Rattus norvegicus: one gene and its partner. The protein of the gene in region 2 interacts with the protein of the main gene of each other region in a pairwise test. Links are inferred from orthologs where the notes say so. Each region holds a gene or a part of one and is shown on either strand. Other genes may lie near its edges.

The links.
Region 1: the proteins of Bag4 (region 2) and Alg13 interact in binary tests that used the Homo sapiens proteins (3 or more experiments, as listed by UniProt). The link is inferred for Rattus norvegicus from reciprocal best matches to the Homo sapiens genes BAG4 and ALG13.

The regions. Positions count from the first base shown.
Region 1 is NC_086039.1:112,726,961-112,730,786, reverse strand, and holds part of Alg13 (putative bifunctional UDP-N-acetylglucosamine transferase and deubiquitinase ALG13), read right to left. Parts: intron 1,669-3,826; coding exon 1,480-1,668; intron 674-1,479; coding exon 634-673; intron 1-633. UniProt on the Homo sapiens protein: Catalytic subunit of the UDP-N-acetylglucosamine transferase complex that operates in the biosynthetic pathway of dolichol-linked oligosaccharides, the glycan precursors employed in protein asparagine (N)-glycosylation.
Region 2 is NC_086034.1:73,001,155-73,004,980, reverse strand, and holds part of Bag4 (BAG family molecular chaperone regulator 4), read right to left. Parts: exon of another isoform or gene 206-3,826; coding exon 1-205. UniProt on the Homo sapiens protein: Inhibits the chaperone activity of HSP70/HSC70 by promoting substrate release. Prevents constitutive TNFRSF1A signaling. Negative regulator of PRKN translocation to damaged mitochondria.

The DNA of each region.
Region 1 (3,826 bases), on a different chromosome or scaffold from region 2:
ACATACTTCTCATATATAATAATATATATATAATTCTGTACCTAATGACCAATCTTCCCTTACTTCTATACTCTTCTCAACCTTTAACAATTACAATCTTAGTCTGAATTTCTATGAGATAAGAAGCATGTTTTCACATATCACAAGTAAGTTGAGAGACAGAGTCTTTCTGTACCTGGCTTATTTTATCAAAAACTATGTATGTTCTTTATATTCATTTACAAAGGACAGGATTTTGTCTTTTATGTAGGTGAATAGTATTCCACTGTGTATATATACTCATATTTATTATTATCCATTATGGTTGGGGAGCTCTAATATATACAATTTACCTTTAAAGCCATCAAAAACAAGGTAGGTTAATTTCTAGTCAGAAGGATAAAAGGAACAATGAGCAAATATGTGATAAAACAATGTAGTTGAATATTAAACAACACAATCTTCCTGGCAATTATTAATTTTTTTAAAAAAATTAGCACTGTTTATCTGAGTCTTTTCACAGTAAACTGCTAGAAAATAGAAAACCTGCATTCTTTGATGGATGACTACTACTTGGGCACAAAAGGTTGACAGAATAAAGGACTCAGGATTTAGATATTAGGTTAATTAGGTAGAAACAACAATAATACTTACAAAATATGAAACCAAGAAGAGGAATAAATGTTTGTATTGACTGGTGAAAGACAAGAGGGAAAAGATGAGGAATTTCATTAGAGACCTTTAAGTTTGAAAGTTAAAAAGCTAAGTGAAAATGCCTAGTAAGTCACCAAAATTTCCAAGTAATGCTAAGTAGATTTAGAATAGACTAAGAAGACATACTATATGGAAAAAGATCAAAACAACAGACCTGGAGAAAATCTAGGTGACTAGTTCAGCTGCTGGAAAGAACTCGGAAAAAAAAAGCACAGATCAGAAAAAAATCAGGAAAAGCAAGAAAACTATAATAAGCAAGCTGCTAATGACTTACAATTCTCTTCGAGTAATACAGCTAAACTCGGGCAACAAAAAACTTCCAATGGAAAAAAATCACTGCTGATTGTTTAAGAAAGTAAGAATACAAGGTTTATCTCCAAAGCAGATCAGATGAATAGAAGCTTTCTCTATTTCCTCCAAATTCAGTTGGTATACCAACCAAGTATTAAAAAGGTTAACAATTTCATACACTTCAGGAACGACACAGAAGAAAATGTTTAATATTAAATCCCAATTTAAAATAAAATACTTGAGAAAAAAACAAAGCTACTCATTTGTAAATTTCTTTCGGGAAAGACATGTAGCTACAAAAGAGGAGCAGAGGAAGAGTCATGACTCGATCCAACTATCTACTAGTCATCTATGCAGAAGATACTTGCAGTTGCTCCCTTTGTTAGTCACCTTGAATTATATCCTCAAATTACTCTCATTTGGTTCTGTACCCATCAACCACGTGGAAGCCATCTCAAGTCTAAATAACCCGGATCAAATCTCAAAATAAACTACCTTGGGGGAGATCACTTCCACTTGGATCATAGGAATAAGGCGGCGGCGGTGGTGGAAGAGGAAACCCTGAAGCATCTCCTGCTTCAAGAGGAGTGGCAGGAGGAGGAGGCAATGGAGGTGGCAGTGGTAGTGGTGCTGCCACCGGTGTTGCCACTGGTGGTGCTGCTGCTGCTGAAGGCTGAAGATAGGCTAGAGCAATAAAAATAGGAAAATTATTAGGGATAGGATGGCAATAATTAACAAAGAAATAAAACAAGAAATAGCAATGCACAGCTATTGTCCCTTATAAGTAGTAGCTGACCTGCTTTTTTTTTCATCCCCAGTATAATCACAGAACACTGAATTCTCATGGATTGACTTAAAAACAAACACTTGGAGGGAGGTTGGTTACCCAGTGCAAATTCAAAGATGTTTCCAGCAACCTATCACTCTGGGTCAAATCATTAAGACAGAAGTCAAGAAACAAAATTGAACACAATAGAGATTTTAACAACCTTACACATTCTCCTGGCACCTTCGGGAGAACATAAGCAATTTTAAATCATGAATTTCCAGTTTTAAGGAGACACAAAATCTAAAAAATGGGCTAAATACAATATTTTATCCCTGTAATGTCCTATATTCATTACTAACTTTATTTAAAATTATACATCTAGGAGTTTCAGTTTTAATACAAAGTTAAAATGTATTTGTTTGCATATTAAACCCCTAGGATAATAAACTGTTTCCAACCTAGTAAAAATAGCTATATTCATGTAATATATTACTTAAAATGTGATATTTTGACAGATGTTAAATAACACAACCCTTGGAATTTAACTAGAAAATTTTAGTCAATTTTTAAAATGATGTACTAAACTATAAAGTTGTGCTATCTACATGATAATTTTAACACTAAAAGCCATAAACAGTTTCATCTCATTATTCAATATAGCATTAAATTCAGAGCTCTAACACAGAGTTGAGCTTACAAACCACAAGCTGAATTTGTTACTCTGGAAATTTAGCCAGAACAAATATACTTTGCCTTCATTCACAAGCAACACTAATAGTACAACTACATGCTAATAGTAATAGGACATATATCTACAGATGACACCAAAGCAAAAATAAATTCATAAACAGCTTTTCTTTTTGGGGGATGGGAGGGATAAAGAAGCAATCCTCTCTTGATTTAATGTTGCTTACATAAGAGCACACTTGAGAAAAGTGCACAGAACTGGACAAGAGAAGGTGAAATTTATTAAAGCTAAACTACATAAAAAACTTTAACAACTTACATAACTCCTTTGGAGTTGTTTTATATATTAGAAATGTGTGTTTTTATAGTTTTAGCAAAGTCATTTAATTATCACAGTAACTACTAATGCTTGAATGTTTCTGTAAGCATGGCTTTTCCAAAAAAGTTATTTTCCATATCTCTTTTAAACTAATACTCAAAATAAATCATACTAGGTTTTTGGATGTGGAAGAACAAGACTAGCTGCCTAGCTAGGCAAGGCAGAAGGATCTCAAATTCAAGGCCTGCCTGAGCTACAGAGTAAGCTCAGGACCAGCCTAGGCAATATAGTGAGACTTTACTGTAGACTTAAATGTGGAAAGACAGCTAGGGATGGCTTAGGACTAAGTGCTTGAGTAGCACGCACAAGGCCCAAGGTTTAATGGACAGTGCCAAGAAAATGAAATCAGATCAGTTAGCCAGAAACAAATATGAATATGCTCACTAGGTAAAAGCCAACTACTAGACCTAGAGGTAACAAAATAGTCACAAACCCAAGAGAATCAAATTTAAAGAAATTAGAGTGCTATTCTCCTCTAATTGGCATTCCTTATAAATGCGTACTACAATAAACACTTTTTTTTTCCTCTAGTATACAGCCATGGCTAACCTGAAACTAACCTGAAATTCAAGATGGGTAATGTATGTATATATGTGTGTGGGTGTGTGTGGGTGTGTGTGTGGGTGTCTGTGTCTGTGTCTGTGTGTGTGTCTGTGTCTTTCTGAGAGGGGACAGAGAACAACTATCAGTAGTTCGTTCTCTTCTCCCAACTCAGACCACCATGCTTGGTAGAAAACACCTTTACTTAGCCACTGAGCAATCTTAAGAGTCACAGGGTTAAGTATTGTAATGATTCAATCTATCTGAAGTATGAATATCCTTTACTTAGCTGTGATTTCAATTCTTTAAGCTCAGACCTCTGCTGAAAGCAAACAAGCAATGCTTTGCCATATTTAGTGGCAAAGTAGTCAAGCCAGGGTCCCAAAATGACATTTCTAATGAAAGAGTCCCCTCATAATCATTTATTACATGTTCTTGTTCTGAGCACTGTGCAATGCATTTTATCT
Region 2 (3,826 bases):
GACAGTCCTGCTGGGGATACATCCAACGCGACACTGGAGTCGGGCTGTTACCAGGTGAACGGTAGGTGCTAGGAATGTCCGTGGAGTAAGTGCCTTGAGCATAGCCAGGTACGTAGTAAGCCCCAGAGTAAGAGGCAGCACTTGCTGTTGCAGGGCCAGGAGGGTAAGGTGGGCCATATGCTCCATTTGCGTAAGAATTCAGACTCTGAAAAAAGGTAATCAGAGAGGAAAAGATAATGGGCTGAAGGGCTAAAATGCCCTTAATGTTCAACCTTGAAAACTTTAGGAAGTAAAGGTGTCAGTAAGCAGTCTCTGAGGTGCTCTTTCTCTTCTCTAGTCTCTATATCACACGCCAGGCACTGAACTCAGATTATAAACTGAAGTTATGGGACATCGATGGAAGCCTATATTGTGATGACAGATAACATTTTCTTACATTTAACTCACAACTACATGTCTAAGAGGAGAACGTTTGCTCACAGAAGGCAACTCTAGGAATCCTGGGGAACAAGGTAGAGGGGGAAAAAATCATATAATAGAAAGAAAAAAATCAGAAACATTCTCTAATAGTTTATATTTAGTTACTCTTAGCTTCAGTTTCTCTAATAGGAAAATGAAGGCCAAAACTTTCCTTGCAGGATTATTAGGAAAAACTGAGATAACAAAACAACAACAAAAAAAGATTTAGCAGATACACAATTTGTTCAAAAGATGGTGACTACATTACTATAAGTATCACGATGAGTTCGAGAAATGACCCCAGTCATATTGAACTAAGCAATCACCCTGCTTTCCTGATGACAACAACAGATAACAGGGAAATTCTTCACTATACTGTTTACTACTGTGGTTATTATAGTTTGGTTATTGTTTTAAACAGTGCTGGGAACTAAACCCAGGGCCTTGTGTGTGTCAGACAGGTGTGCCACCTCCAAGATACAATGCCAATCTGTTTTCCTGTGGTCTTAAATCACCTACACAGACTATTACATTGCTCATATCCAGATCCTGCTTAGTGCTCCAAATAAGATTAAAGCTAAGCCTTAACTTCAACTATTACCTTATGTTTTGTATTATTTGTTTGCCCCCCCACCTCTGTGTGTGTGTGTGTGTGTGTGTGTGTGTGTGTGTGTGAGAGAGAGAGAGAGAGAGAGAGAGAGAGAGAGAGAGAGAGAATGTGCATGATATGGAGGATGCATGTGTCACAGCATGCTTGTGGAGGTCAGAGGACAACCTAGATAGTGAGACCTTGTCTTTCAACTTGCCTTTAAATTTGTTTGACACAGGGCCTCTTATTTACTGTTTTAAATCCCAGGCAGGCTAGAGAATACAGACACATGGGCTACTGCATTCGGTCTTTATGCGGTTCTGGGAATCCAAACTGAGATCATCACGTTTGCATGGAAGGCATTTTGTCCACTAAACTATCTCCCTAGTTTCACTTTAGTTTTTTTAAAATAGGAGACACACAGAATCATGTTTTCTTGTAAATGTTACTCCCAGCAGGATGTACCAGGAAGAATTTCAAGTTTGTAGCTAGTCGTCTACATAGTGTGACATTATTCGAGGGAAGGGAGGAGCCCTAATTGTGTGTACACACTTGTAATCCCCAGTACTAAGGAAGATGAGGCAGGAGGACTACAAGGTAGAAGACCTTGGCCTACATTAGTAGAACCTGGTTTAGAAACAAATTAAAACCAGAGAAACAAAATATACCTGAAGAAGTGTGTGTGTGGTCAGAAACAATAAAAGATTAAAGAGCCAAGTAATGTATTCCTCATAAGCCCTTGAGGTTTTCAGTCTGAAAGAAGAACTCTTTAATAGAATATAAAGGCCAAGATTTGATACAGTATCATGTGACTTTTTGGTCTGTACTCCAGCTTCCCAAGGAAATCACTCCACTATAAAAAAAGTCACAGGTTAGAGAGATGGCTCAGGGGTTAAGAGCACCAACTGCTCTTCCAGGGGTCCTGAGTTCGACTCCCAGCAACCACATGGTGGCTCACAACCACCTGTAACAGGATCTGATGCCCTCTTTTAGTTGTGTCTGGAGATAGATACAATATGCTCATATAATTAAAATAAATAAGTCTTAAAAAGTCACAGGCACAAAGCTGTCAAGTATAATATTTGTAATTAGACAAAATAGTACAGGGACAGAGAGATGTCTCAACAGTTAAGGGCACTTGGTTGCTCTTCCAGAGGACCCAGGTTACAACCATTAGTAATTCTACTTCTGGAATTCTGATGCCCTTCTAGTCTCTACAGGCACTGCATACGTGTGTGTGTGTGTGTGTGTGTGTGTATACATATATATATATATATATGCGCGCAGGTAAAACACAAACAAACACACGCATACATATATACATACAAATATAAAAATAACACTTTAAAAATAAGTTACACAAAATATTATAGAATCTAAATGCTTTAGGACTATTCTATTTTTATTTTTAGAAAAAAATTTAATTTACTTATTTTTATTACACATGCATTGATGCTTTGCCTGCATGTGTGTCTGTGTGAAGATGTTGGGTCCCCTGAACTGGAGTTACAGACAGTTGTAAGCTACCATGTGGGTGCTGGGAACTGAACCCAGGTTCTCTGGAAGAGCAGCCAGTCCTCTTAACTACTGAGCCATCTCACCAACCCTGAGAGCTCACGCTGTAAACTACAAGCACAAATTAAAAAAACAAGCTGGGAGTGGCTCAAGTCTTTATTAAAGCCTATCAGCCTACCCCCAACCCTCCACTCCCACCCATGACATACTTCCTTAAACAAGACATACTTTAACAAACATACTTTCTTAAATGTCCCAAAAGTACCACCAACTGGGAACCAATGGTTCAAATGTCAGAGTCTACTGGGGACAGTCTCATTTAAACTACCACAAAATGGAAGGATTTTTTGTTTTGTTGTTTTTAAATAAACACACATTTATTTACAAGCAACAAAACTACACTATTTGGTATTTGTTTCAAAACACTCCCAAGATAAATATAATATGGTCAAGTACTGAGACTTGTTGAAGCTGAGAGGAACATTTGTTTCTACCTTTGTTTGAAATTTTCCTTATTATAAAAGGAAATGAAGAAGAAGCTGGATGGTTGATCACAGACCCTAATTCAAAAGGCCAAGAGCTACGGGGGTGAGAACAAAGAAGTTCTTGTCATTGAGTCTGTAAACTGCATGTGACAGGCAAACACAGAAGTGTGCAATGGGGCAGTGGAGATAGCTTAATGGGTAAAAGTGCTTGTTTTGCAAGCCTAATGGCATGACGTGAGGCTTATCCCTTGATCCAGGGAAAAGAACTTCTAAAAAGCTCTCTTCTGACTTCCACAAGTGCACCATGGCACACTTTGGCCACCACAGCACACACTCATACACAAACAGAATACCAAAGCTGAATTTAATCATTAAAAGGTGTATAATGGCTTCAGGTGTAAACAGACAATGGAGGAAAGGCTTAAGCCGCATTTCACAGACACAGTCACATTAGGACGGCACAAGCAAAGTTATTTTCATTCTTTCCTTGTTTTTCAGTTTTATATGTCTGTCTATATGAAAGGGGGCTTCTTAAGTTCTCTGTGAAGCTTCTGCTAGTGCTGAACTTGTGATTCTCCTTAGCTCTGCCTCTTTTTTCTTTTCTTTTTCTTTTTTTGGTTTTACTAAACAGGGTTTTTCTGTGTGGCCCTGACTGTCCTGGAATTCACTCTGTAAACCACACTGACCTCAAACTCAAGAGGTCTGCCTGCCTCTGCCTCCCAAATGCTGGGATTAAAGATGTGCCATCATGCCCAGCTTCCAATTATCTAATACACTT